Linked DNA regions of Callithrix jacchus. The protein of the gene in region 1 interacts with the protein of each later gene in a pairwise test. Links are inferred from orthologs where the notes say so. Each region holds a gene or a part of one and is shown in the gene's direction. Other genes may lie near its edges. The genes, in order: CWF19L2, CALCOCO1, MAD1L1, MEOX1, TRIM37, NAB2 and SF3B4.

Region 1 (4,166 bases):
TTAAGTTAGAGATCTAGGTTTTGAAGTACAAAATATTTTAGGCCTATAAAGAAAAGTTATATTAGGATAGATTGCTTAGTAAAGACAAACTTTTGAGATCTGAATGAGGGAATGGAGTTAATTTGAATAGAATTAATTAGAGCCTTGAAAAATCTGTTTTTTTTTTTTAAGTAAACTGTTTATTGAAATGTAACATATATATAAAAATATTCAAAAATATTTAGTCAATATCTACATTGAATATAAAAACCTTTCTACCATGGCTTACATGTAAATTATGTGTGTACATAAATACACAAACCATAAGTGTACAGCAGCAGACTAATCATTTTCATCAAATGAAAACATTTGTTTACTCAGCACACAGTTTGAAAAATCTCATTAGCAACCCAGATGCCCCCTTTATGGCCTTCTAGTCACTACCTGGTCACGGGAAGGGTAACCATTATTCTGTTTTCTAGTACCAGATACCAGTATATCCTCCTTTGTTTCAAGTTCCTTTTGCCCACATTTTGAGATTCATCCGTGTTGTTGTGTATAGTTGTAGTTTTTCATTATCTTTGCTGTATAATAATAAATAGTATATTTTAGGAATATATCACAATGTAGGAGGTGTCCTGTGTACTATTGGTATACATTTCCTGGGTTGTTTCCAGGCTGGAATTATTGTAGTGTTCTGCTATGAATATTCTTATATGTGTCTTGGGGTCAATATGTGTGCATTTTTGTTGGTTATAGAGCTGGGGAGATCTTAAAGCAGTCATGTTCTGGGGCAAGGAAAATAAGGAACAGAATTTTATTTTTTTTTTTGAGAGAGTTTCCCTCTTGTTAGCCAGGCTGGAGTGCAGTGGCGGGATCTCGGCTCACTGCAACCTCCGCCTCCTGGGTTCAGGCAATTCTCCTGCCTCAGCTTCCTGAGTAGCTGGGATTACAGGCACGCGCCACCATGCCCAGCTAATTTTTTGTATTTTTAGTAGAGACGGGGTTTCACCATGTTGACTAAGATGGTCTTGATCTCTTGACTTCGTAATCCACCTGCCTCAGCCTCCCAAAGTGCTGGGATTACAGGTGTGAGCCACCGCGCCCGGCCAAGGAACAGAATTATTATTTAAGTAATTGATTTCTTCTTGACACATATCCAAAGTGTGATGTGTAAAGAAGAAAAGAAAGCCAGCTTAAAAAATTCGTTAAAGGCCTCCAAATGTTCATGGTTGGTAATTATGAGTAAAGTAAGATAATTTGTTTTAACATCCACTTGCGTAACTTCCCTATTTGTTCTGCCACTGAGGTAGCTTTTCCTTTCTGTGTGTGTCCTTGTTATTCCTTAATTATTTCTTGGACTGTCCTCCCTTACCTTTTTAAAATAGAAACCCAATTCATTTTCTTGAGCCTGGTTTCTGGAATTTTCCCTGACTTCTCACTTTGAAATAACTCTTTACTTTCTCACTTTCTTGAACCCTGTGTATCTTTTTATATTAGCGGTCACTTTATTTTTATTTTAATTAATTATGTCCTTTTATTCTTATTCTCTTAGATTGGAATTTTCTTAAAGATAGATTTATTTATCTTTTCCTTCTTCCTAGCGGCAAAACTCTGTGGCTTACATATATGGGCAGTCACATATAATACATATGTTGAATTCCGAATGCACTTATATATTTAAAGAAAAATATTTGTATTTTAGAAGTCATTATAGAAGCAATAAATCTTAATTGTATGATAACCACATTAAAAGTATAACGAATATTTAATGTTGGAATTTAGTTTCAGTGGTAGAAGATGGTGGATTAAGCTGGCTAAGGAAGTCTTATTTAAGAATGAAGGAACAAGCTGAGAAACAAAATAGAAACTTTGAGGACATTGTAGCCGAAAGATATGGGGTGAGTATCTGTATTAAGGATATGGGTCTTATTTTCAGAATTATGTGAAAAATTAAGTGCCTTTAACTTTGTTTTGTGCCATGAAGAATTGAATTAATATTACATTTCATGTCTTTATACTACTGAAGTAATTTTCTGCTTTTCATTATTATGTAAACAGATATCTATTTTTTATTGGCTTAATGAATGTAAAGCTTAAGTTTATAAAACTTAAGTGTGGGTGTGTTTAGTGTAAAAGTAACATTTTTTCATTGTGATAAAATTTAAACAATGCTGGAAAGTTTGCATGGTACACTTCTGGAGGTAACCACTGTTGAAATTTTTGTATATTCCAGAGTTAGGTATATTCTAGAGTTTGGGTGTTTTACAGAATTTTTTAGAAGAGTGTATATATACTCTTAAAACAATAAAAGCATGCAACAGTATATATTTTAGAGCCAGTTTCCCCATTTTTTCTGGACAATCTTTCTATTGCAATAATTATCGATGTTCTTATTTTTTTTCTCAATTACCAGAGGAAAGCAGGTTTAGAAAGTAGTAAGAGTTTTGGAATATACTTTTCCAGGTATTCTCCCCCTGCTTTCTAAAGTAGGCTTATGGAATATGCCCTGGCTTTTTTTTTTAACTTAATTTACACATAGTTTGATGCCAGTTATTATATACATGTTAATGACCTCTTAATATTTTAATATACGTTTTATAGGATTTTCCTTCATCTGTTGGTCAGTGGATGAACATTTATATGCTTTCCTTTTCCCTTGTTGCAAGGGAATATGCATTTTGCATATTTTTCTTACTGGTGAATTACTGGAAATGAAACTGCCTGTTTAAAGGATATAGACATTTAGAGCAATGTACCTGTTGCCAGATTTCCTATGGAAAGAATGAACACATTATGCTTAAGAATATCTTTTATCACATAATTTTCAACAGTAAGATTATTCCTTATAGTTTATGTTATTGTGATTGGCAAAAATTTTAAGTTTTGCTTTTGTTTTTATACATTTGTTTACTGGTGAATTGGAATTTTTTTAATATTTATTTTGGCCATTTGTATCTTCTAGTGAATCGACTATTGATATTATTTGCCCATTTTTCCTTTGGAATAATGATTTAAGACTTTTTAATAAATCTGTTCAGATTTCTTCCCCTCAGCTTCATGTTTGTTTTTTACTTTGCTTATAATTTGCTATGGATGTTTGACATAGTTTTACCTATCAAAACCCCTCATATGATTTTTTCATGAGTTAATGCTCATTGGCAGGCCTTCGCCACCACCACAGTCGTAAGAACGTACAGCTATATTTACTTTGAGTACATTTAGTTTAAGCTCACCAGAAATAAACATTTTTCCAAAATTTTTTATAAATTTATAACTTTTTGGAATTTCGATTTAACTAAATGAATAGATAAATTAAGAACAACTAGTATCTTTATAATATACAGTCATCCCATCCTAAAACACCAAGTATTTATTTATGCATTTCACGAGTTTTCTCTGCAGTTATTATCTCTATGCCACTGAGGTTATTTTTATTTTTTTCAATTATAAATTGAAATCTAAAAATGTTTTCTGACTTGCTATTGGTGTTGGTTGGCCAATTTTTTAAACTTTTTATTCTAATTTAGAAAATTTTGGGTTATGTGGGAAGGTAGTTATATGCAAATAATTATTTTGCTTTTTTCCTCTCTGTTAAAATATTTAAACTTTCTTTTCTTTTTGAAGTAGTTATAATTTTAGAACTTTGATGAGAGGATTGGAAGCTGGTATTCTTGTCTTTAAGTAATGACTTCTTGTGTTTAAGATTATATCATGTTTAAGTATCTTTATATTCAAAGTTGAGTAAAAGGTGCTTTTTTGTTTGTTTCTTAAAATTTTTATTTATTTATTTATTGTGTTGTATTCCAGGATGTTTTGATATGCACAAGGAAATAATTACTACAGTTAAGCAAATTAATGTATTATTTATCTCACATAGTTATTCTCCTTTTTTGTCTGATAAAAGTACCTAAAATCTACTCTCTTAGCAAATTTTCAGTATATAATGGGGTATTATTAACTGTAGTCCTCTTATTGGACGTAATGTCTCAAGGCTTAGTTATCCTATAAAATGGAAACTTTGTACTCGTTGACCTCCGTCTTCCCATCCCCTCTCCTTGCAGTAACCACCTTTCTGCTTTCTGTTTCTGTGTGTGATGCATCTTTTCCTTGAAAATTGTTTTAACCTTTGCAACTACAAGGACATTTGTTTAGACTTGACCATTGCATTTCCCATTTGGTTTTTA
Region 2 (4,166 bases), on another chromosome or scaffold:
GGTGCATCTGACTGTGTGATGGATGGGATTCCGTAGCACACTGAGCATTCCCTTTCTCACCTCTTTAGAGCCCAAAGCTACATAACTCCCCAACCCCAAAATGCATCTGATGCATTCTGAGTGAGGATGGGCCCTTAGAAGGGGTACTCCACCAGCACACCCCCTTCTCATCCTGCCATCTATAGAACCAGCTCGATGAGAGCCAGCAAGAACGGAATGACCTGATGCAGCTGAAGCTGCAGCTGGAGGCACAGGTGACAGAGCTGAGGAGCCGAGTGCAGGAGCTCGAGAGGGTTCTGGCAACTGCCAGGCAGGAGCACGCGGAGCTGACAGAACAGTACAAGGTGGGAGCTGGGCCAGGTAGGGGACAGGGCCTGGCTGCTCACCCAGTGTCTAAAATCTGAACCCAGGGAAGAGGGTGGAGGAGAGATGTTAATTGGCTTTTATGATGGTTCTGGCGTCAAGGAAATAGATTTAAGGGGTAACAAGTGGGATTAAACTTGATATGACAAAAGACATGTTCCAAACTTGTAATGAGACTCAGTTCTTTGAACATAGGGATGCTGGGCTAAGGTGGAGGTAGCTACATTGATAGGTAAGGGAATGTTCCCTTACAGTTTCTTTTTCAAGGATGATGATGTGATAGCCGGGTGGGAGCAGTCAGACCCTGGAGTACTCTTCCTAAGTCTTTGTTCCACCACTTGAGAGATGAATCCCAACCTCCTTTTTCTTCTGGGGGAAACTTAATTACAGGGAATTTCGAGGTCCCATGGGGAGATCACAGAAGAAAGGGACATCCTGAGCCGGCAACAGGGAGACCATGTGGCACGAATCCTGGAGCTGGAGGACGACATCCAGACAATCAGTGAGAAAGTGCTGATGAAGGAGGTGGAGCTGGACAGGTGAGGGGAGTCCACTGACCCCCTCACTCCAGCCTCCTCTCTCAGGCAGGCAGACCTGCTGTCTGCCCCACATGCTTCCTCTTTCCCTCACCCTCACTCAGGCTAATCCAGTTACTGGGGATACCCTTTTCTGCTGAGCTTTCTCCCACCTTTCCAAACACTAGTCTTTACTCCTTCTCTTCAGAAATAATCATAGTTACCCCTTATTGTGCAGCAAAAGCTGAGCCAGAGCTGGGAGTGGAGGATTTGGAAGAAGAGAAGGGATAGAAGTCAGTGTAAGATAAGAGAGGATGGATATGGCTGGGCGAGATGGCTGATGCCTGTTATCCCAGCACTTAGGGAGGCCGAGGCAGGCAGATCACCTGAGGTCAGGAGTTTGAGACCAGCCTGACCAACATGGAAAAATGCTGTCTCTACTAAAAATACAAAATTAGCTGGGCATGGTGGTGCATGCCTGTAATCCCAGCTACTCAGGAGGCTGAAGCAGGAGAATCGCTTGAACCTGGGAGGCGGAGGTTGCGGTGAGCTGAGATTGCACCATTGCACTCCAGCATGGAAAACAAGCGTGAAACTCCATCTCAAAAAAAAAAGAGAGAGAGAGGATGGATTTCAGATTTGACCACAGGAAAGTTACTATTAAGAAACATTAGAACTGGTGATCCAGGAAGATTATGGAATCTCTCCCCTGAAAAAATTAAAATCATAGACTCTTGGCATTGGGAATGTAAGGTATGTATGAGGGTATGTAAGAGGTCACCCTCAGGAGGCAGCCTCCTTCAACATTTGACAGCTGTCATTTTTGTATCTCTTGTATTAAGCCAAACTCCATCCTCCTGTAACTTACCAGGAGGTCCTGAGACCTCTGGAGACACACAGAACACATTTCTCTCTTCTTCCAGAAAACTGGTACCTCTACCAAGTAGCATAAATAGTGATACCACCTCCCGTGTCCATCCTTCAAACTTTCACGAGTTTAAACACTCTATCTAGTTCCTTATTTCATTAAATGACATAATTATGTTTCATTTAGTACTGGTAGATGTGATATTTTTTAAAACTGTTTAAAAGAAAGGCATTCCGTCCGAGGCCCAAAGTAATAAGTGGGTTCATCTGAGAGGCTTCTTCAGGACATGTTAGTCTCGCCCTAGGGAGATATTAGCTGTCTACATTCTAAGTCGTAGGTTAGAAAAGCAGGGGTCAGATTGAGCATCTGGAAAAGATTAGGGACTGCCTAGACCAGGGGTCAACAACTATGGCCCACAAGCCATATTTAGCCTGCCACCTGTTGTGTAGCCCACAGGTAAGAATAGTTTTTACATCCTTTAATGGTTAAGAACAAACTAAAAGAAGAATATTTTGTGACATGAAAATTGTATAAACTTGAAATCTTTGTTCATGTTTTGTTGGAACATCGCTCTCGTTCACTTGCATATTGTCAGTGGATGCTTCTGCACTGCAATGACAGAGTGGAATAGATGCCTCAGAGACCACATGGCCTGCAGAGCATACAATCTTTACTATCAGGCCCTTTACAGAAAGAGTCTGCCAACTTCTGGTCTAGATCAAAAGTTTATCATCAATAATGACTGCCCTTGTCTCGAAAAGACTAGATTGAGTGAAATCAGTAGGAGCCATCAGCAGAACATTCCTTAAAATATCACTTCAAAAAAGAAGAAAAACTATTTATTTCTAAATTGTGCTCTAGAACCTGGAATCTTGGGGCTTAGAACTGGATCCGCTGGCTTGGGGATTTATGCATCCCAGAGTGAAATGGAGATCTGGGCCTAGAGCAGCAGTAAAAGGGCACAAGATAGAGGTCTGAGTCCGTTCCTTCTCTGGGTGGAGCAGATTGTCTGACATGTCATCCTACCAATCCCAGGGTTAGAGACACAGTGAAGGCCCTGACCCGGGAACAAGAGAAGCTCCTTGGGCAACTGAAAGAAGTACAAGCAGACAAGGAGCAAAGCGAGGTAAGGGGCTCAGAGTCGGTTTACTTTCTCCATTGTTCAGTCAGTGTTTGATTCCTTTCTGAGAGCCGGGCACCAAAGGGAATAAAAATGTAAAGAAGACATTGTGTGTGCTCTACTCGGGAACAGAAGACATATATCCAAATCAGAATTAGTCAAAGTGGAATATAAGAAGTGTCACAAGAGAAATCTTCTTTTGTTGTTGTTTTTTTGGAGACAGAGTCTCACTTTGTCTCCTAGGCTGGTGTGCAGTGGTACTGTCTCAGCTCACTGCAACCTCTGCCTCCCAGGTTCCAGCGATTCTCATGTCTCAGCTACCCGAGCAGCTGGGATTACAGGCGTGCACCACCACACCCAATTAATTTTTGTATTTTTAGTAAAGACAGGATTTCATCATGTTGGGCAGGCTGGTCTCAAACTCCCGATCTCAAGTGATCCGCCTACCTCAGCCTCCCAATGTGCTAAGGTTACAGGTGTGAGCCACTGTGCCTGGCCTCAAGAGAAATCTAATGAAGTATTGTAGGGCTCTAGGGAGGTATGTGAGAGCAGATTTTGTTAGAGATGTTAGAAAAGTCTTTTTAAAAGGGGTGTGAAGGCCGGGCACGGTGACTCACGCCTGTAACCCCAGTACTTTGAGAAGCCAAGGCGGGTGGATCACCTTAGGTCAGGAGTTCAAGACCAGCCTGGCCAACATGGTGAAACCCCGTCTCTACTAAAAATAACAACAATTAGCCAGTCATGGTGGTGGGTGGCAGTAATCCCAGCTACTCGGGAGGCTGAGGTAGGAGAATTGCTTGAACCAGGAGGCAGAGGCTACAGTGAGCATAGATCACAATACTGCACTCCAGCCTGGGTGACAGAGTAAAAGACTCTGTCTCAAAAAAAAAAAAAAAAAAAAGCAGGGGAGGTTCATGGCTAGACGTGGTAGTTCATGACTATGATTGTAGCACTTCGGGAAGCTGAGGTAGGAGGATTGTTCAAGCCCAGGAGTTCAAAACCAGCCTGGGCAATATAGTAAGACCCCATCTCTACAAAAAATTTTAAAATAGCTAGGCATGGTGGCATGCACCTGTAGTCCTAGCTACTCAGGAAGCTGAGGTGGAAGAATTGCTTAAGCCCAGGAGGTCGAGGCTGCAATGGGCTATGATCACACCCCTGCACTCCAGCCTGGGTGACAGAGTGAGATTGTGAGATTCTGTCTCAGAAAAAAAAAGGGGTGGGGTGTGGAGCATGTAGTAGCCTAGTACTTCCAAACCTTTTTAGCAGAACCATTTCTTTTCCTCCCACCACTAAAGTT
Region 3 (4,166 bases), on another chromosome or scaffold:
TGTCACCCAGGCTGGTCTTGAGCTCCTGGCCTCAGGTGATTCTCCTGCCTCATCCTCCTAGAGTGCTGGGATTACAGGTGTGAGCCACTGTGCCCTATTCAGGGCTAGATTTAAAGGGTAGCACCATGTGCCTTGGAGGTGCAGGGGATGTGGCTGGGAAGGGATGTCCAGGTACAGGGCTGGGCTCAGCCAAGGTACAGACATGAGAGCCTTGTGTGGAGGTGCAGTCAGCACCTCCTAAGATGCCCAGCACCGGGGGCATCTCCTACCCAGCATTTAGGAGATGCCCAGCACCATGGGCTTCTCCTACCCAGCATTTAGGAGATGCCCAGCACCATGGGCATCTCCTAAAGGGTTTGACCCTTCCCTCGGCAGATGTGGTTTTAGGAGAGTTCTAGTTTCGTAGTAGAGAGGAGAGGTCATTTCTGGGCGGGGCTCTGCCACAACTGCACCAGGGCTGCGGGTTGCGGCCGGCAGGTGAAAGTGTGGGTGCCGCTGCTGTCGAGGACCTTGCAGGTGGCTTGGGCTCACTATGCACTCTGTGCGGATGAGCAGACTGAGGCCTCAGAGCCAGCCAGCAGGGGCTGGGACCCAGGACCTTAGGGTACCCATGCAGTGGGAGTGTGTGTGGAGGGGTGTGTGCAGGTGGGGGTCCTGAACCTTGGGGTGGGAGTGAGAGTGTGTGGGTCTGTGCTGGGGCGGATCTCAGGCTGAAGAGAATTGTTGGCCTTGCCACATGCCTGTTTCTGTATGTGATGTATTTTTTTTTAATAGAAAATGGCAGGAAGCCAGTCAGAAAATCCAGGAACTCCAGGCCAGCCAAGAAACGAGAGCAGATCAAGAGCAGCAGATTAAGGTGAGTTGCTTGTGTCAGGTGCCTTGTGGACATCCCTGTGGTGGCCTTGGCTCTCTTGCCCTTGTCGGCCTTTCTGCACCAGTGCCGAGCTCTGTGGGCCTCCTGTGAGATTTGCTGCTGCCCTGTGTGGTGGGCATTTTGCTGGGCACCAGGGATGCCATGGTGAATGGGGCAGATGCTGCTGACCTCAGGGAGTGTGCATTCTAGAGGATGGAGACTGACCAGAGACACGAAGAGAGTGTCCGAATGTATGATGATGTCAAGTGCTGAAGAGTGTGAGAAGGTGATACAGGCATAGAGGGGCTAAGAAATCTGCCCACAGTTGCACAGCTGGAGCTGGGTCTCAGTCGGGGTGACCTACTCAAGCTCATGCTGTGCCCTTTCCCTGTGGAGGGCATGCCAGGGAGACGCCGACTCCGGATCCCTCTCCTACCTCCTGTTGCCTGGAGAGCAGCTTTCAGACCTTGTGCTCCAGCTGTGCCCTATTGGCCCCCCATGTACCCTCACCTCCATGCCTCAAACCAGCTCTTCCTGGCTGCAGAGCTGACTGTCACCCCCAACCTAGCCTCTGCCATGTCACCTCCTGGTGGTGTTCCCTGGCCCCTCATCCTCCTGTCTGCATCCCTCGGCCCACCTGTCAGGATTTGCTGGCTGGTGAGGCCTGGTGTCTGCCACTTGACTTGGTACATCGCACAGAGATGGACTCTGTTAGTGTTTGTTGAATGACCATCTGGTTTGGTTGTGGTTTCATCCTCTGCCTGTTCACTGACTTGCTGCTCACAGATGTCAGCTGTCTGTGTCCCAAGGAGACTGGGTACCATAGGGAAAAGCCTGTCCTCACTATTGGAAAGAGTAAGCCGTTACACACATGCTACTAGAGGGGCAGAAGTGGGCTTGACACAGGAGGATGGGATGTTTCACCATGGAGTGTCATCTTGGGCCAGACTTGAGATAGACTTTTGCTTCTAGATAGCTCCCTGAGGGCAGGACAGTGGTGTGCACAGTAGCCCAGCGGTGTGTGGTGAGTGCCAGCTCCCAGTGTGCAGTGGGCTGGGAGGACGGTGTTGGGAAGAGCTGCCCTGGACTGAATGCCGAGGCTCAGTATTGGAAGCAGCTTTGAGGGCCCTGGTGCAGCCCGGGAAGGCCTCCCAGAGGAGAGTCCTGAGCCATGGAGGCTGCTGAGGACCTGGGGCAGTTTAGTGGAGGAACTTCCTGGCCTCAGTGACTTTACTCTTTAGGGGATGCTTTTTTCTATAGCAGATTTAGGTTCACAGCAAAATGAGCAGAAGGTAGAGCTCCTGTGCACCCCTGTTCCCCGACCCCCCCCCCAAAAAAAAGCACACACCGCCTTTCCTGGTAGAGTGGAGCACATATGACGGTTATGAACCTGTCTTGATGCATCAGTGTCAGGGAGAGTCCACAGGTCACTCAAGTGTCTCTCCTAGAGTGGGACAGTGTATGGTTTGGGCAAATGTAAAATGTCCTATATTCACTGTTAGAGTGTCACACAGAAGGGTTTTACTGCCTAAAAATCCTTTGTGCTCCCCCAGTTAATCCCTGACTCTCTCCTTTTGAGTCGCTGACAATTCCCAAACTTTTGCTGTCTCTATAGTTCCCCCTTTCCCAGAATGTCCGTGGTTGGATCCTAGCTCCTGTAGCCATTGCAGACCAGCTTCTTTCTCTTAGTCGTGTGCGTGTGATTTTCTCCAGGTCTCTTCATAGTTCATTTTTCCCTTCTTCTCTGTCCCTGGCCTCCATCAGGATCTGGAGCAGAAGCTGTCCCTACAAGAGCAGGATGCTGCTATTGTGAAGAACATGAAGTCTGAGCTGGTGCGACTCCCTAGGCTGGAACGGGAGCTGAAACAGCTGCGGGAGGAGAGTGCACGCCTGCGGTGAGGGGGCATGGGGGATGGAGTAGCCTGTAGTGAGTCTGGGTTTGTGTGCAGGAGCCTGTGTTGCAGACCCTGTAGGGGCAGGGCTCCTGGGCTCTTGGCTTCATCCCCAGGGTGTGTGGCTATTTGAGCAACTCTTTGTGGCACTGCCAGGGAGATGAGAGAGACCAATGGGCTGCTCCAGGAGGAGGTGGAAGGGCTACAGAGGAAGCTGGGACGCCAGGAGAAGATGCAGGAGACACTGGTTGGCTTGGAGCTGGATAACGAGGTGAGGGTTTGTGCAGAGTGGGTCGTACCCTTGTGTTATAGGGTGGGAGGCAGAATCATGGTCCCCAGAGAGGTCCATGCCTTATCCCCAGAGCCTGTGAACACGGCACCTTCCCTGGCTGGGTGATTGAGGTCACAGGTCAGCTGGCCCACAGTGTGGAGGGGCTCCTAGGCCATCCTGGGGGCTCAGAGTGACATCAGAGGGACTTGGCAGCTCCTGCTCGGTGTGGAAATGGAGGAGGGGCCACAAGCCAAGGAACAGGGGTGCCTCTGGAAGCTGGAAAGAGCAGAGAAGTGGACTCTCCCCTGGAACCTGCAGAAGGAACTCAGCCCTGCCAACACCAGGATTCCAGCCTAGGGAGACCCATTTTGGATTTCTGAACTAGAATACTATAGGATATTCCATTTGTAGGCCTTTTTTTTTTGAGACAGAGTCTTGCTCTGTTGCCAGGCTGGAGTACAGTGGCATGATCTTGGCTCACTGCAACCTCTGCCTCCCTGGTTCAAGCGATTCTCCTGCCTCAGCCTCCTAAGTAGCTGGGACTACAGGCATGTGCCACCACGCCCAGCTAATTTTTGTGTTTTTAGTAGAGACAGGGTTTCACCATGTTGGCCAGGATGGTCTCAGTCTCTTGACCTCTTGATCCACCTGCAGCCTCTCAAAGTGCTGGGATTACAGGCATGAACCACTGGGCCCAGGCTGCTTGCTGGGATTCATACTTGAATTCATGGGGCTGGGAAGGAGTGACGCATGAAGCGTACAGTGTGACTTCTGCAGTTGGGGAATAATAACCCAGCCACTTCCAAGCAGACTTGGAGCATTTAGTGCCCAGCTCAGAGATAAGGGTAGGCTATCCTGAGAGGTCAGGGACTTAGCGCCGTGATCATTATTGTCAGTCTTATGTGATAATCCTGTGGCGGTGATGACAGGGTCCGTGCTTTTGTTGTCTTTTCAGAAGCTGCTGGCCAGGCTGCAAAGCTGGGAGAGACTGGAGCAGACCATGGGCTTGAATGTCAGGTAGGGAGGGCCAGGTGCCTCTGGGGTCCCACCTTCTCTGAAGGGTCACTGGGGGAGAGCAGAGTCTGCCTCATGCTCACGGGCACTGTCTCTAAAAGCCTGGTGGGGGCCTTTTGTCCTGGGCTGCTCAGGT
Region 4 (3,549 bases), on another chromosome or scaffold:
TTCCCTCCAGCCCACGCTCCCGCTTCCGGAGGGTCTGGGCCTGCCTTCTCCGGCCTGGAGCCAGAGGCCGCCGGGCAGGCAGCCCGCGCCTGGAACTCGGCCCCCTGCCCTGTTCCCTGGGCGCGCCCCAAAGGCAGCCAACCCGATCGGACGCAGACCCCCGGGCCAGGGCACCGGGACTATCAGGCCCCTCCCCCGCTTCTCTGGTTCCTGGAAAGGTGGCACCCACTCCCCTACCATCCCGCGGCAGGGACCAGGGACGCGCAGCGCGAGGTGGGCCCGGCCAGGCGCCCAAATCACTTTACCGCACGCCTCCGGCTCGAAAGCCGCCCAGCCCAAGCAGTGGGGAGCGGGGGCGGAGGACGGGGAAGCTGGAAATACGAAGGGGGACTGCATAAAAAGCAGTAGAGCGGGGTGTTGGGAAGAGAACCACCTAGGCTCCGCTCCAAAGCGGATCGCCCGGTTAAGGTGGGGTTCCTGCCTCGCCACCCACTCCCAATGCGGCTGCTTAGGCGCCTGCATGGGCGGCTTCTCTGCCTTAGACTAGCTGGTCTAAATTCCCCAGCCCTGGCTTCCAGGTAGCTTAGACTCGGCCTTTGAAAACAGGACTCCCCTTCCAACACTATCCAGCAAGGCAGAGATGGGTCTTTCAGGGAGCAGGAAGTTGGGGTGCAGGTTTCAGTAAAGCACCTCACTATGAACCACGGTCTCTGTGTCTATAAAATGAGGACAATGAAGCGAAAGACTTAAATGTTAGAGCCCCTTATTCATGGCTCCTGCAGCCATTCCCTGGCCACGTGGCATGCATTGAGAGTTAATGGCTAGGTGTGTGGTCTCTGCCCGCCTCCTCTCCACCGACCATCTCCAGTCATTAAAGTGAAGGTAGAGCTGCCTCCCACCGTCTGCTCCAGAGATAACCATGCAGCCCTTTTATTTATTCAGGACTTTACCACTTGTAAGCCCTTCCTTTTTTTTTTTAGCCTTGCTGTATCGCCCAGGCTGGAGTGCAATGACCTGATCTCGGCTCACTGCAACCTCCGCCTCCTGGGTTCAAACGATTCTCCTGCCTCAGCCTCCTAAGTAGCAGGGATTACAGGCGTGTGCCACTACGCCAGGCTAATTTTTTGTATTTTTATTAGAGACGTGGTTTCACCATGTTGGCCAGGATGGTCTTGAACTCCTGACCTCGTGATCCTCCCTTCTTGACCACCCAAAGTGCTGAGATTACAGGCGTGAGCCACCGCCCCCGGCCCCTACATATTTTTCATTTGAACAGTATGTGTGAGTCAAACCGCCTGAATTTGATTCTTGTCTCCCACATCCCCTGGCTTAATAAACTTGGACAATCTGTTTAACTTCTCCATGTTCATTTTCTGGTCCATAAAGTGAGGCTAATACTAGAACCACTTGGTTGGGCTATTGAGGATTAAGAGGCTAATATTTGTCAGGTACAGCACCTGGCGCAGGGTGTGTCCCAGACCCTGCTGGCAGTTATGACTGAGCCACACTGATTCTAACAGGAGCCTCCTTCCGAGGGGTCCAGATGACTTTCCATACTTGGCTCTCTGGGGCAGATTCTGATTGGGTAGGCAGGTCTGGGGCAGGCCTGAGATCCTTCGGGTTTGAACAGCTCCCTGGTGCTGCTGATGCTGCTGGTGTCCAGGCCCTCGTTTGAGTGGTGAGGTCGTACAGCAGTGGACTTGATCATGCACCAGACGCATCTGAGGGGTTTGTTTTTGGTTTTTTTTTTTTTTTTTTTTGAGACGGAGTTTCGCTCTTGTTACCCAGGCTGGAGTGCAATGGCGCGGGCTCACCGCAACCTCCGCCTCCTGGTTTCAGGCAATTCTCCTGCCTCAGCCTCCTGAGTAGCTGGGATTACAGGCATGCGCCACCATGCCCAGCTAATTTTTTGTATTTTTAGTAGAGACGGGGTTTCACCATGTTGACCAGGATGGTCTCGATCTCTCGACCTCATGATCCACCCGCCTCGGCCTCCCAAAGTGCTGGGATTACAGGGGTTTGTTAAAATTGATCGCTGAGCGCCATCCCCAGAGCTTCTGACTTAGTAGGTCTGGAGTGAGACTAGGATTTGCAGTCCTATCAAGTTCTCAAATCCTGCCTCTATCACTTCTCCTAGTCCTGGGACCTCTGGGTCTCCATCTGCAAAAGTTCTCAGGTAAGGCTGATGCTGCCGATCTTGGGACCACATTTTGAGGCTTTGTTTTAGAGCATCTCATCTCACCCCACAAACTTACGGCCACCAGTTATGACATGCTGGGGGGTGGGCTGGGGAGTAGACATCATTAAACAGCCAAGAGTAGCTTCTTGTGCTTTGAGAATAAAAGAAAGTTTGAAGGTGGGGGCGGTGTGTGGGGGGGAGCAGGTACCTGAAATTGGAAGCCAAAAAAAAAAGTTCCCAGTTCTAAGATGGGTAAGACACCAGAAGGAATAAAGAGGGCAGCGTAGCTTTCTCAGCATCCTGTAAAAATAAGGGAGACTGGGAAAGGCTGCCTAGTTGCTCGAGGAAAAAAGAAAGGGAATGGAGTCTCCTTCAGCCCATGTCTTCCTGTTTGGGGTCCTCTCTCCCTAGACAACCAGGAGAGCCGAGGGAAGCCGGACGGCAGCAGCAAGGCCCGAAAGGAGAGGACAGCCTTCACCAAGGAGCAGCTGCGGGAGCTCGAGGCGGAGTTTGCCCACCATAACTACCTGACTCGGCTCCGCAGATATGAGATCGCTGTAAACCTGGACCTCTCTGAGCGCCAGGTGTGCCCCTGGCAGCCCCTCTTCTTCTCTGCTCTCTCATCTCCCTCCCTTCCCTCCTTTCCTGCCACCCCTCCCTGGACCTTCTCCTTTTTCTTCCTCCTCCATCCAGTCCAGTGGTTCTCAACTGTGGCCATACCTGAGAATCACCTGGGGAGAATTTAGTAGCGCCGATGTCTGGGTGGGAGATGATAAAAGATGAAAATCAACCTGGGGATGATTTTAATTGGTCTGGGATGGGATACAGGCCTCAAAATTTTTCAAAGGCCCCCTAGGTGATTCTCATATGCACCTAGGTTGGGACCTCCGGTCTGCCTATTCCCAAACTTGAGTATATGTTGGAATCCCTAAGGCACTTGTTCAAAATGTGGATTCCAGAGGTCTGGAGAGCGATTTTGCCATAATGAGTGGGCCTGAGAGTCTGTATTTCCAGTACGTTCCCCAGGTGATCTGGATATGCCACTGGTTCCTGGGCACACTGAGAAACTTCCCTGGCTCTTTGTTTTGGACTTTCCCTCAGCCATCCCACCCCCCCACACCCATTCTCTGATACAGAAGCATAGTAATAACAGTAATGTTTGAGAGCAGATTTCCGTTGATAGAGGGCTGTGCCAGAAGATTGGACTTTGAGTCAGAAGACTTAGCTTCAAATCCTGCCTCTATCACTTCTCCTAGTCCTGGGACCTCTGGGTCTCCATCTGCAAAATGAGATCATAATCCTGCAAGTGACACTGAAGCTCAGATGAGAAAATGTGTTGACCAAAGCTGTCTAAACCAAAAAGTGCTCTA
Region 5 (3,534 bases), on another chromosome or scaffold:
CAACTTTAAATCCCAAACCTAAATTAGGCACATAAATCTTACTTTGAATTTAGAGGTGAGACTTTTTTCTCCCTCTTCAGAGACCAGTAGTAACAAAGTTCCTTTCTATTTTCCTATGCCAGTAGGCAGAGAATTTTTTCTAGCCTATTCTTTCAGTAAGAACTTTAGCAGTGGCCAGGCATGATGGCTTATGACTATAATGCCACCACTTTAGGAGGCCAAAGCAAGTGGATTGCTTTAGCTCAGGAGTTGAAGACCAGTCTGGGCAACATGGTGAAATCCCATCTCTACCAAAAAAATACAAAAGTTAGCCAGGTGTGGTGGTGTGCGCCTGTTGGGAGGCTGAGGTGGGAGGATCACCTGAGCGCTGGGAGGTCAAGGCTGCAGTGAGCCATGATTATACCACTGTACCCCAGCCTGGGTAACAGAGTGAAACCCTGTCTCAAAAAACAAGCAAAAATTTTAACATTATGCAGGGGTGGGGTTTTAGTCTCACTTTCAATTTCCTTTCTGTGATGGGTCCATTTTTCTATCCCAAAGCAGTGTTAAAAATCCTCTTGTGTCCAGGCACAGTGGCACGTGCCTATAGTCCCAGCTGCTTGGGAGGCTGAGACTGGAGGATCACTTGAGTTCAGGAGTTTTGGGCTGTAGTGCACTATGCCAGTCGGGTGTCCACACTAAGTTTGGCATCAATATTGCGATGTCCCAGGAGCAGGGGACCACCAGGTTGCCTAAGGAGGGGTGAACCAGGCAGGTCAGAAACAGAGCAGATCAAAACTCCCGTGCTGATCAGTAGTGGGATTGCGTCTGTGAATAGCCACTGCACTCCAGCCTGGGCAATATAGTGAGACCCCATCTCTAAAACAGATAGATAGATAGATAGATAGATAAAAAAGAAAAATCCTCACATAGGCCAGGCATGGTGGCTCACACCTGTAATCCCAGCACTTTGGGAGGCCTAGGCGAGGAGATCACCTGAGGTCAGGAGGTAGAGACTAGTCTGGCTAACATGGTGAAACCCCATCTCTACTAAAAAATACAAAAATTAGCTGGGCGCAGTGGCAGGCCCCTGTAATCCCAGCTGCCCAGGAGGCTGAGGCAGGAGAATCACTTGAACCCAGAAGGTGGAGGTTGCAGTGAGCCGAGATTGTGCCATTGCACTCCGGTCTGGGAGACAGAGTAAGACTCCATCTCAAAAAAAATTTTTTTAAATCCTCACATGTAGCACTCCAGGGCAACTGTGGCCCCTGACCCACTAATGAAAGTTTCTTATCTTTCTGGAGGTTAAAGCGAGAGGATCTCTTCTCAAGCCCAGGAGTTCGAGACCAGCCTGGGCAACATATTATAGCAAGACCCTGTCCCTGCAAAAAAACTTTTAAATTAGCAAGACATGGTTTCATGTACCTGTGGTCCTATCTACTTGGGAGGCTAAGGCAGGAGTATCGCTTGAGCTCAGGAGGTTGAGGCTGCAGTGAGCTTTCAGGCCACTACAACCCAGCCTAGGTTGACAGAGACCCTGTCTCTCAAAAAATAAAAATAAATAAAAGTCAAATGGCATACACAAAAAAAGTAAATGCCCAATTAGAATACAAACTAATGTATTATTAGAATTGCCAGAATTTCTAATATTCATATACCACGTGTATTTGTATAATATGTTTATATTTATATATGTTTTAGGCTAGGGACTATAATTATGTCTACAATGAGTCAGGATTAAAAGAATTCCTGTTATCTCTTGTGACTGAAAAAAAGCAGTGTTTGATTTAGAAAAAAGAAATTTTCAATATAATGAAATTAATACTGGTTTCAAATTGTAACTTTCAGGTACTGTGGAAAGGGCAATTTTGAACTTAGAGAACAAAAATAAAACCACTGCTATAAATAGCTAAAGAGAATCTCCATTTTTGTGGTTACTTTTGTCTTTGTTTAGTTTACTGAATTATTGGCATTCCATGTAAAATTCAGTTAGGAATCTCAGGTTAGTAGATAAGGAGATTTGTTTCCTTTCACTAATAGTGGTTTCTTTTCAGAAACATGTTCTCCTTCCTTCCTGCCAGGAATGAGTAGCGACAGTGACATTGAATGTGACACTGAGAATGAGGAGCAGGAAGAGCACACCAGTGTGGGCGGGTTTCACGACTCTTTCTTGGTCATGACACAACCCCCGGATGAAGGTGCAACACATGATGTCATTTTACACAGATTAATAAAACCGCCGTTGCTGCTTCTCTTTCTTCTTCTTCTGCTGCTGCTACTTCTACTACTTCTGCTCTGCTGCTTTTGCTTCTTTTGCTTCTACTTCTTTTTTTTTTTAATTATTGTCATTTGTGAGACAACATTCTTTGTTAAACTATTATGGTGAGTACTGAAAAAACATAGTTGGTAATATTTGACTTGGTTGCACCTAATGAGTACTACTTACTGGGTAGAGAAGGGGCCCACAGCCTGCTTTTGTATAGTCCATGACCTGGGAATGGTTTCTACTTTGTAAAGAGGTAAAGAGTCTTAAAAAACAAGCAAAAGAAACCAAGAAGAATTTTCTTTTTTTTCTCCCCCTTTCCCCCTCAAGACAGAGTCTTGCTCTGATACCCAGGCTGGGGTGGCGTGGCACGATCTTGGCTCACTGCAACCTCCACCTCCTGGGATCAAGCCATTCTCCTGCCTCCACCTCATGAGTAGTTGGGATTGCTGGCACACACCACTATACCCGACTAATTTTTTCTTTGTATATTTAGTAGAGATGGGGTTTCACCATGTTGGCTAGGCTGGTTTTGAACTCCTGACCTTGTGATCCACCCGCCTCAGCCTCCCAAAGTATTGGCATTACAGGCATGAGCTACCGTGCCCAGCCCAAAGAAGAATTTTCAACAGAATCCATTTGTGGCCTACAATGCCTAAATATTTACTCTCTACCTTTCATAGCAAATGATTGGCAATGCCTAGGGAGACTTCAGATATTTGGGGTTTTTTTCAGAGATTTTTCTAGCGTACTCTAAGATAACTTTAAAAATAACCTTTTCTGGGCCGGGCACGGTGACTCAAGCATGTAATCCCAGCACTTTGGGAGGCCGAGGCAGGTGGATCAGGAGGTCAAAAGATCAAGACCATCCTGGTCAACATGGTGAAACCCCATCTCTACTAAAAATATTTTTAAAAAATTAGCTGGGCATGGTGGTGCATGCCTGTAATCCCAGCTACTCAGGAGGCTGAGGCAGGAGAATTGCCTGAACCCAGGAGGCAGAGGTTGCGGTGAGCCGAGATTGCGCCATTGCACTCCAGCCTGGGTAACAAGAGCGAAACTCCGTCTCAAAAAAAAAAACCTTTTCTGATTTCTTAGAAATACATGAAAATTATGAAATCAATTTTTATTATCTCCTATCCCCAAAAAAGTTATTTGGAAAAAATTCAACGAGAGAAACCTACTGTTAATATTTTACCTTGTTTTTTTTCTGTTCTCATTTGCATTTCTTCTACCTAATTTTTTTTGAGACTGAGCCTTGCTCTGTCTCCCAGGCTAAATTGCAGTGGCTT
Region 6 (4,539 bases), on another chromosome or scaffold:
AGCCAGAGATGGTACGCATGGTGGTGGAAAGTGTGGAGAGGATCTTCCGGAGCTTCCCAAGGGGGGATGCTGGGGAGGTCACATCCCTGCTAAAGCTGAATAAGAAGCTGGCACGGAGCGTGGGGCACATCTTTGAGATGGATGATAATGACAGCCAGAAGGAAGAGGAGATCCGCAAATACAGCATCATCTATGGCCGTTTCGACTCTAAACGGCGGGAGGGCAAGCAGCTCAGCCTGCACGAGGTAAGAACCCCCAGGCCTCCTAGGATTGCCCTTGACTTGTGGGCCTCTAGCTGCTTACCTCTGCGAGCTTCTGAGATCTCCAGTTCTCTTTCATTACCCCCTGACCAGGACCCCAGGCCCTGACCCCCTCCCCAACAGGCCCCCACCCAGGGGCCACAATGCTCCCATCCTCAGCTGAGGAGGATGCAAAGATAGAGGCAGCACCCAGCTGTTGTCAGCTCCGTGTCACTCAGGACCCCACAGGAGTAGTGGAGGCCCCGGGCATTCCTAGGAAGCTGTGGGTGCTGACCTCTGTCTTCTTTCTTCAGAAAGCTCCTGTATAGTGTCAGAAACAAAGCAAGCATCCAATGGATGGGCCTCATTTGTCCGATGGTGAAGGGGTGCGAGGAGGTCTGGTGAGGCAGCCGGGGAGTTTCAATTCTGACTCTCCTGGCTGCCCTCTCTCCACAGCTTACCATCAACGAGGCTGCTGCCCAGTTCTGCATGAGGGACAACACGCTCTTATTGCGGAGAGTGGAGCTCTTCTCTTTGTCCCGCCAAGTAGCCCGAGAGAGCACCTACTTGTCCTCCTTGAAAGGCTCCAGGTGAGACCCCCTTCCCCAGGTCCTTCCTGGACTGGAATCCCACCATGGAGTTAGATCATATCTAAACCTTCAGCTTAGGCAGCTCTAGGCCTGCTTCTGCCCCACCTGCATGTCCTGCTTTTGGCTAAGTCAGCTTGTCTCAGGTCTGGTCTCTCCTTCCATCCATGTTGGGTCCCCCAACCCCCTACAACAATAGCACCTGAGCTATACACTCCTTCTCTGCCAACTTATTGGCAAAGGTGTTAAATAACACATGCCTCTAGCCAGGTTCTGGACTCTGCCCATCGAATGATCGAATGGCCCTCCGCAGCCTCACCCTCTTTATTCTTATCCGTATTTTCAGGCTCCACCCTGAAGAACTGGGAGGCCCTCCACTGAAGAAGCTGAAACAAGAGGTGTGTTTTCTGGGTTGCATATAGGGGCGTCAGGCAGCCTTCTCCAATCCCCTCTCTTGCCAAGTCTTCATTTCCCCATTTTGGGCATCCACAGGTTGGAGAACAGAGTCACCCTGAAATCCAGCAGCCTCCCCCAGGCCCTGAGTCCTATGCACCCCCATACCGCCCCAGCCTGGAGGAGGACAGCGCCAGCCTGTCTGGGGAGAGTCTGGATGGACACTTGCAGGGTGAGTGTGCCTCAGAACACTTTTCTCTTCATTGGGGGTAAGGGGGTGGGGATGGGGGTGGGGGGGAGGAGTGAGCCAGGAGGCAATGTCTGGAACAGGGCTGGGAGGCATGGCTGGAGGGGGGGGCAGAAGGGCCTGTGGGCTGGCTGTGTGGTTGAGGGTGGGGGTTCCATTGGCTGCAGCCCCTTACCTGACCAGTGCCCATGCCCACAGCTGTGGGGTCATGCCCAAGGCTGACGCCGCCCCCTGCTGACCTGCCTCTGGCATTGCCAGCCCATGGGCTATGGAGCCGCCACATCCTGCAGCAGACACTGATGGACGAGGGGCTGCGGCTCGCCCGCCTCGTCTCCCACGATCGCGTGGGCCGCCTCAGCCCCTGTGTGCCTGCGAAGCCACCTCTCGCAGGTGAGGCAGCCAGCAGTGCTGTCCCCAAGCACCCAGGCCCCACACAGCAATTCTGGTGTCCTGGGGCCAGGTGGGAGGAAGAGGTATATAGTCGTAAGAGAGGGCAGTAGGAGGGCCGGGCTACAGCCAGCCAGGCCTTGGGGTGTGGAGAGGCAGACCCTGCTGGGCTGCTTCCACCATGGAAAGTCTGGTCCTAGTGGAGATCTGTGAAAGGAGAACTGGGGAGTGGGGGACAGAGAAAAGAGGATGAAGGAGCAGGAAGGAGGAACATCAATAAGGGAAGCTCAAATGACACTTCCACCAACCCAGGAGCCAGGAGCAGGCTAGGAGTTGCGGGGATGGGTTTGCCCAGCTTGGAAGCAGAGGAGCCCAAAGCGGGGATGCTTTGTGTGTGGAAGGGGGAAGAAGGAGTGGGCCGGCAGAGGGCCGGGCAGCCGCTGGGCTGAGAGTGACGCAGCAGACAAAGCCACCAACCCTGGCTTGGTATTTTTAAACTGTGCGTGGGTGGAAAGTGGGGGCGGGGACTGGAAGGGGGGCTCTTCTTGAGGGAGGAGCTGGGAGGCTGGTTTCCTGCGCTCCCCCTGATTTGGCTACCAAAAAAACTTGGGGGGTCATGGTAGGGTGGGTGGGGACTGGGAGGGGGCCAGGGATGAGTGGGGGTGGCAGAGCTTGGGAAGGGGGGGAGGGGAGAGGTCAGAGCCAAACCACCCCCGCAGCTCCTGACAGAACCAGAAATTCCAGCACCACGGAGGAGGCGGGGAGAGACAGAGAAAGAGAGAGACACAGACAGAGACAGAGCTACACACAGCCAGAGGGGAGGGGGCTCCCACACGGGAATGGAGCCCACTGTACACATGCAGTGGGCAGGAGACAGTAATTAATAAACCAACCCCATCTTCACAGCTTTCTTTGCCCCTGCTTCTGTTCTCAACCACCTCTGTCTGCAGCCAGTCAGCCCGCAGTCTCCTAACTGCCCTCTTTTCCCTGCAGAGTTCGAGGAAGGGCTGCTGGACCGCTGTCCTGCCCCAGGACCCCATCCTGCGCTGGTGGAGGGTCGCAGGAGCAGTGTGAAAGTGGAGGCTGAGGCCAGCCGGCAGTGAGGGGTGCACTGGTGTTTTCAGACACAGGACCCCAGACTTCTGGCTCACACAGACCCCCACGCTCTCCATCCCCGGAATCTAGTTACAACCCTGGATCCTTCTGCTGCCCTTCTCCTGCCTCCCCACCTGCTCCATGGGCATAGACTGTGGGGCTTCAAGCAATAACAAGCAGGGGCCTGGAGAGAGGACACAAGGAGGGTGCGTGGTGCCCTCACCCCTGCCCAGAGCGAGGGGGCAAGGACTCTGCCTCCAGGGCATCTGGGGTTCTCCCTTCCCTCATACAACACACTCCCATTCTCTTTAGGTTTGCACCAGTGGTGTGAGCAGTTGGACTCAGTTTGGACAAGGGGGAGAGGGGGACTTCCCTGGGAAGGTCCAGCAGCTAAAGGTGGCAACATTTGCCCCCAGAACTGGGGGCCTGGGAACACTGGACCTGCTCCTTCTCCCCTCTCCTTCCCCATTTTTGTGCTTCTGGTTTGTTTCTTTAATTTAACAAGTGCTGCAGTTTGCCCTCCCATTCCCATCTCTCCCCCAAGTCCTTAGCAATTTCTTCCCTCCTGCCCTATGTGGGGGCGGTGGGTGTGGGATCCCTTCACTGGCCCCCTCGGGAGGCCTGGGTTGGACTCAGGGTCTCCTCCAGCTGGGGGCTGGAGCACAGCACCTATCTGAGCAGTTAAGAGTGTCTTTCTTTTCAGATTGTGTACAGTAGATTATTTATTTTGTTATTTTGGAATAAAATTTATTTTATGGCTTAGGATCTATGACCCCTGCCTCAAGAGGGAGAAAGGTTGGCATGGGATAGGGGAGTGAAGGGAAGCTGGCAGTGGATAGAGCAACAGAAAAGATGCAGCAGGCAGGGTCCCTCATACACTGGAGGGCCACGTGGCCAGGCCTGGACCCAGACTCTCACCCTGGCTCCCAGGTGGCATTGGAGGTGTGGAGCCATATGTAGATGTTACAGCCACTTGGACCTACTTGGGCAGTCAGACTCCAAATTCAGAGTACTTTTGGGTTAGCATATGTCAGAGAGGGCAGCACACTTGGTGCTGTCTTCTGTGCAATGTCTCACTGGCAGATTTGTGTTGTCACACAGGCAAAAGCAGATAGACACATACTCTATGTTTTCATGCAACTGATGTGCCAACTATACATTAACATAGGTACATACATGTTCACACAGCTATACAGGAAGAAATTTGGCCCTTGTACTTCTGCATAGTCTCATACACATATCAAAAGCCTCCATCTGGCTGACAGGAATTTGGGGCTTTGGGAGATTTGTTTTTTAATCAGGGCAAAACCTGTGTTGGTAACCACATGTTCAGACCCCTCCTGTACTCCCATCCAGGGTCCCCTGAGCTGCTTCCCATTCCCCCAGGGCTAAGACCCAATACCCTCTATCCCTAGTGTAAATGTTCTGCCTATCCATCCTAGGCCCTGGCTTAGAGTGGGTGGAGAAGCCTTCCATGCCCTAACCTGTGCTCTTACCCAGCCCCCCTCCTCCTCAGCCCCATCACCCTCAGCTGTGTGTGTGTGTGTGTGTGCGCGCGCGTGCACTGCAGGTGCAGGCACGTTGGGGCGTG
Region 7 (4,628 bases), on another chromosome or scaffold:
CCAAAGTGCTGGGATTACAGCCACTGTGCCAGGCCTTAATCCTTTTTTTTTGTATCTGGACTTGCAGCTGTCACACGCCAGCCGTTAAACAAGTTCACTAAGAAGATGGGAGTTTCTGTTGCAGATGGCGGTGTTAACCGCTCCGACCCTTGTCCTGTCTTGTTTGGTTCCTGCAGATATTTTTGTTTCTTGTGATTTGAAGAATTAAGAAACAAAAACAATCCAGAAAATGATCGGTTCTTTTAAGCCAATTCCATCCCTTCTGGATAACCAGATGTTAATTGTGAGATTAGAGATGCTGTTCATTAGTCCCAACAACACGGCCCCGCCTTGCTGCTGCTTTAATTCCAACTTCTGTTTCTTTCCTTACAGTTTTCTGAGAATGAGGTGGATACAGGAAACACCCTGTCTCCTCTGTGTATTTTTGTAGTGGAATTGCTATTTAAGGGGTTCATTAAAGCATGGTATTTATACACATTGTTGGCATTGTTTCTTGTGTTTGAATAAAGGATTCTCCTAGGTAGCAAAGAGTGGTGGGTAAAAGGTGGGTGTGACCCAAGAGAGGAAGGCATCCACCATATTATTGATAAGGAAACAGAGGAACTGGGTCTAGTGAGGCGCTGCAGAATTAAAGTGCAGTTTGGGGAAAGGGTTAGATGGGGCACGAGCATGTCAGGATGTTGTCGCTACCGGGCGCGGTGGCTCACGCCTGTAATCCCAGCACTTTGGGAGGCCGAGGCAGGGGGATCGTGAGATCAAGAGCTCGAGACTATCCTGGCCAACATGATGAAACCCTGTCTCTACTAAAAATACAAAAATTAGCTGGGTGTGGTGGCACGCGCCTGTAGTCCCAGCTACTCGGGAGGCTGAGGCAGGAGAATTGCTTGAACCCAGGAGGCGGAGGTTGCAGCGAGCTGAGATCGTGCCACTGCACTCCAGCCTGGCGATGGAGCGAGACTGTCTCAAAAAAAAAAAAAAAAAAAAAATGTCTCTGGGGCCAGAGTGTTCTAGAAATCCATACTGAAGTCTCTGAGCCCATCCACCCATCAGCTGTGGTCAAACACCCTCGGAGCAGCCTGATTCCCACCACCCTTCCCCTCCCCATGTTATTACGACGAAGTGAGCGCAGACGTCACTCCAGCTCAGACATTCCGCAGTCTCCTCCCCTGAAGGAAAACCAATACCTCCAGCCCAAATCAGGGCTGTGAGGCCAAATCAGGGCTGTGAGGCCAAATCTGCAAGAAGGCTGCAGGCGAGATGGAAGCTTCCCTCTGCGCCTGAAAGCAGCCGAGTCCTCCGGCTGCGGGGACTCTTCAGCACGTTCTTCTCTGGGAAACAAAAGAAGAATCAGTGGCCACAAAATATAGCAAAAGTAAAGCCTTGTCCTTTCAGAGTTCGAATTTACATTTTTGGGAGCAGTGTGATTTTTTCAAGCTTAGCATTAAGAGGGTCTGAGCGTTTCCATTTCGCCCTCCTCGCTTAGACCACTAGCAACAGAACAACTGCGCGGGAGGCGAAGACTATACCGGTCGAGCCGGGTTAAAACAAGGAGGCTCCTAAGATGGCTGCGGCTGCTCCCAGGCACTTCCTCTTCTGCGGCCCCGCCCACCATACGTCAGCCTTCGCCCCGGAAGTGGAAGTCGGGCTGAGGTCAGAGAGCGGAACCGCTGCTGGGAGACGGCGGGAGCTCCTTCGCCATGGCTGCCGGGCCGATCTCCGAGCGGAACCAGGGTAACTGGAGGGGGAGAATCTGGAATGCGCTCAGCATGGCGAGGAGGTCCCGACTAGGGTCAGCAGTGCCTCTGCAGGGGTGGGAAGCTGAACTCCTCGGTTCCCCAGAGGGCGCGAAACCGGCCCCATGCCTGCTGGGGGCGGGGTGGCTGGGTGCTGGCTTAGGCCTGTTGGTGTGATACTTTTATGTCCAATCCCCTGCTGCCTTCCCACTCAAAAAAATCCACCCAGAATACTAAATTAGCCTTGAGAGGATTTCCTAAGTCTTGGGAAGAAAGAGGTTTAAGGGTTAAACGTATTTTTTTTTTTTTTTTTGCTCCTACCCTGCCCCGGTCCCCAGTTCCTCTGGTTGGGTTCCATCTTCATGTTTCCATCACCTCCTTTCCTGTTATACTCTCACCGTTGCCCTGACTTTCTGCTCCCTCCCTTCAGATGCCACTGTGTACGTCGGGGGCCTGGATGAGAAGGTTAGTGAACCGCTGCTGTGGGAACTGTTTCTCCAGGCTGGACCGGTAGTCAACACCCACATGCCAAAGGATAGAGTCACTGGCCAGCACCAAGGTGAGTACATGGCAAGGGGCAAATTGCTCCTGGAGGGTCCCAGCAGTATTCACAACTGTTTTGGAATGAGATGAGCAACCTAAAGATTTCTTTGTTTTAAGCCTCAGTTCAGTTTATTTCTGGAGCCATTCTCAAATAAAGTGAGGTTGTTTCTCATTCTTTGTGATCAGAGGGGAGGTGAGTTTTACCCCATTTTGAATCTCTTCACTTAGGTTGTTAACCTCCTCTCCACTTCTGCAGGCTATGGCTTTGTGGAATTCTTGAGTGAGGAAGATGCAGACTATGCCATTAAGATCATGAACATGATCAAACTCTATGGGAAGCCAATACGGGTGAACAAGGCATCAGCTCACAACAAAAACCTGGATGTAGGGGCCAACATTTTCATTGGCAACCTGGACCCTGAGATTGATGAGAAGTTGCTTTATGATACTTTCAGCGCCTTTGGGGTCATCTTACAAACCCCTAAGATTATGCGGGACCCTGACACAGGCAACTCCAAAGGTTATGCCTTTATTAATTTTGCTTCATTTGATGCTTCGGATGCAGCAATTGAAGCCATGAATGGGCAGTACCTCTGTAACCGCCCTATCACTGTATCTTACGCCTTCAAGAAGGACTCCAAGGGTGAGCGCCATGGCTCAGCAGCTGAACGACTTTTGGCAGCTCAGAACCCACTCTCCCAGGCTGACCGTCCTCATCAGCTGTTTGCAGATGCGCCTCCTCCACCCTCTGCCCCCAATCCTGTGGTATCATCACTGGGGTCTGGGCTTCCTCCACCAGGTAAGGCTTTTGGTTAAAATATGTTTGTCCTTAAGGTTGGAGGAGTGCAGCAGGGGAAGAAAAAAGAGTCTGAAAGAGGGACATTGAGTCAATGAGTGATGGGAAGAGTGATGGGAAGTCAGTGAGTGATGGGAAGTGGTGGAGGAGAATGTTGTTGGGTATCTTTGGGAGGCTGAAGTTATTTGACTATTCTAACATTGCTTTTGATTTTCCAGCACTGGGAGGAGGGGCAAAGAACTCGCCGTGGCTGGAGAGGCCAAATATGGTCAGCTCTTTGAAGACATTTTCTCCCCACTACCATTAACTCTTCCTTCTTCCATTTCCTCTACAGGCATGCCTCCTCCTGGCTCCTTCCCACCCCCAGTGCCGCCTCCTGGAGCCCTCCCACCTGGGATACCTCCAGCCATGCCCCCACCACCTATGCCGCCTGGGGCTGCAGGACACGGCCCCCCGTCGGCAGGAACCCCAGGGGCAGGACATCCTGGTCATGGACACTCACATCCTCATCCATTCCCACCAGGTGGGATGCCCCATCCAGGTAGGTGTGCTTTGTTGGGAAAGGGAGGGAAGAGCTTGGTAGAGCATCTCTGTCACCACTCACCCTGCTGCCCTTTGTTCAACAGTAACAGTTTAAGAGTTTTCCTTTTCTTCAGACATTCTCTTATAAAAAAACATACAAAATACACTCTAACAGCTACCAGTCTGAAATGATTTCTTAAGTTTTTCTGATGAGCAGACTATGCTTGCTGTTTTTTGTTTCTTTACCTTTTAGTTCCATTCTCTCCTCTAACTCCACCTCAAAGTGGTGACCTAATTGCCAAATCTCAGGGACAGTTCTCCTTATCTGGTTTGACCTCTGATGTACTTGAAACGTGTCTTCCTATTTGAAATTCCTGTCTCGGCTGGGCATGGTGGCTTCTGCCTGTAATCCCTGCATTTTGGGAGGCTAAGCTGGGTGGATCACCTGAGGTCAGCAGTTTGAGACCAGTCTGGCCAACATGATGAAACCCCATCTGTACTAAAATACAAAAGATTAGGTGGGCATGGTAACTTGCTCCTGTAATCCCAGCTACTCGGGAGGCTGAGGCAGGAGAATCCCTTGAACCTGGGCAGCGGAGGTTGCAGTGAACTGAGATTGTGCCACTGCACTCCAGCCTGGTCAAGAAGAGCAAAAACTCCGTCTCGAAAGAAAAAAGGAAAACAAATTCTTGGCTGGGCACGGTGGCTCATGCCTGTAATCCCAGCACTTTGGGAGGCTGAGGCGGGCAGATCACCTGAGGTTGGGAGTTCAAGGCCAGCCTGACCAACATGGAGAAACACCGTCTCTACTAAAAATACAAAAAATTAGCCAGATACGGTGGCACATGCCTGTAAGCTCAGCTACTTGGGAGGCTGAGGCAGGAGAATCGCTTGAACCCAGGAGGCAGAGGTTGCAGTGAGCTGAGAGCACACCATTGCATTCCAGACTGGGCAACAAAAGTGAAACTCCGTCTCAAAAAAAAAAAACCAACCTTGTCTCTTTGCTTCTTCTTTTTTAGATCCTCCCCCTCTTT

Evidence for each region.
Region 2: the proteins of CWF19L2 (region 1) and CALCOCO1 interact in binary tests that used the Homo sapiens proteins (3 or more experiments, as listed by UniProt). The two-hybrid records come from large-scale screens. The link is inferred for Callithrix jacchus from reciprocal best matches to the Homo sapiens genes CWF19L2 and CALCOCO1.
Region 3: the proteins of CWF19L2 (region 1) and MAD1L1 interact in binary tests that used the Homo sapiens proteins (3 or more experiments, as listed by UniProt). The two-hybrid records come from large-scale screens. The link is inferred for Callithrix jacchus from reciprocal best matches to the Homo sapiens genes CWF19L2 and MAD1L1.
Region 4: the proteins of CWF19L2 (region 1) and MEOX1 interact in binary tests that used the Homo sapiens proteins (3 or more experiments, as listed by UniProt). The two-hybrid records come from large-scale screens. The link is inferred for Callithrix jacchus from reciprocal best matches to the Homo sapiens genes CWF19L2 and MEOX1.
Region 5: the proteins of CWF19L2 (region 1) and TRIM37 interact in binary tests that used the Homo sapiens proteins (3 or more experiments, as listed by UniProt). The two-hybrid records come from large-scale screens. The link is inferred for Callithrix jacchus from reciprocal best matches to the Homo sapiens genes CWF19L2 and TRIM37.
Region 6: the proteins of CWF19L2 (region 1) and NAB2 interact in binary tests that used the Homo sapiens proteins (3 or more experiments, as listed by UniProt). The two-hybrid records come from large-scale screens. The link is inferred for Callithrix jacchus from reciprocal best matches to the Homo sapiens genes CWF19L2 and NAB2.
Region 7: the proteins of CWF19L2 (region 1) and SF3B4 interact in binary tests that used the Homo sapiens proteins (3 or more experiments, as listed by UniProt). The two-hybrid records come from large-scale screens. The link is inferred for Callithrix jacchus from reciprocal best matches to the Homo sapiens genes CWF19L2 and SF3B4.

What each region holds. Positions count from the first base shown.
Region 1 is NC_133511.1:7,239,466-7,243,631, reverse strand, and holds part of CWF19L2 (CWF19-like protein 2), read left to right. Parts: intron 1-1,764; coding exon 1,765-1,880; intron 1,881-4,166.
Region 2 is NC_133510.1:65,835,976-65,840,141, forward strand, and holds part of CALCOCO1 (calcium-binding and coiled-coil domain-containing protein 1), read left to right. Parts: intron 1-185; coding exon 186-344; intron 345-753; coding exon 754-902; intron 903-2,781; coding exon 2,782-2,872; intron 2,873-4,166. UniProt on the Homo sapiens protein: Functions as a coactivator for aryl hydrocarbon and nuclear receptors (NR). Recruited to promoters through its contact with the N-terminal basic helix-loop-helix-Per-Arnt-Sim (PAS) domain of transcription factors or coactivators, such as NCOA2.
Region 3 is NC_133503.1:56,827,590-56,831,755, forward strand, and holds part of MAD1L1 (mitotic spindle assembly checkpoint protein MAD1), read left to right. Parts: intron 1-774; coding exon 775-856; intron 857-2,617; coding exon 2,618-2,748; intron 2,749-2,901; coding exon 2,902-3,016; intron 3,017-3,969; exon of another isoform or gene 3,970-3,971; coding exon 3,972-4,033; exon of another isoform or gene 4,034-4,166. UniProt on the Homo sapiens protein: Component of the spindle-assembly checkpoint that prevents the onset of anaphase until all chromosomes are properly aligned at the metaphase plate.
Region 4 is NC_133506.1:70,519,325-70,522,873, reverse strand, and holds part of MEOX1 (homeobox protein MOX-1), read left to right. Parts: intron 1-2,590; coding exon 2,591-2,763; intron 2,764-3,549. UniProt on the Homo sapiens protein: Mesodermal transcription factor that plays a key role in somitogenesis and is specifically required for sclerotome development. Required for maintenance of the sclerotome polarity and formation of the cranio-cervical joints.
Region 5 is NC_133506.1:93,606,870-93,610,403, reverse strand, and holds part of TRIM37 (E3 ubiquitin-protein ligase TRIM37), read left to right. Parts: intron 1-2,033; coding exon 2,034-2,177; intron 2,178-3,534. UniProt on the Homo sapiens protein: E3 ubiquitin-protein ligase required to prevent centriole reduplication. Probably acts by ubiquitinating positive regulators of centriole reduplication.
Region 6 is NC_133510.1:62,619,026-62,623,564, reverse strand, and holds the end of NAB2 (NGFI-A-binding protein 2), read left to right. Parts: coding exon 1-245; intron 246-695; coding exon 696-829; intron 830-1,172; coding exon 1,173-1,224; intron 1,225-1,318; coding exon 1,319-1,451; intron 1,452-1,664; coding exon 1,665-1,856; intron 1,857-2,846; coding exon 2,847-2,956; 3' UTR 2,957-3,713; downstream 3,714-4,539. UniProt on the Homo sapiens protein: Acts as a transcriptional repressor for zinc finger transcription factors EGR1 and EGR2. Isoform 2 lacks repression ability.
Region 7 is NC_133519.1:9,859,554-9,864,181, reverse strand, and holds the start of SF3B4 (splicing factor 3B subunit 4), read left to right. Parts: upstream 1-1,653; 5' UTR 1,654-1,697; coding exon 1,698-1,731; intron 1,732-2,163; coding exon 2,164-2,292; intron 2,293-2,532; coding exon 2,533-3,075; intron 3,076-3,406; coding exon 3,407-3,613; intron 3,614-4,628. UniProt on the Homo sapiens protein: Component of the 17S U2 SnRNP complex of the spliceosome, a large ribonucleoprotein complex that removes introns from transcribed pre-mRNAs.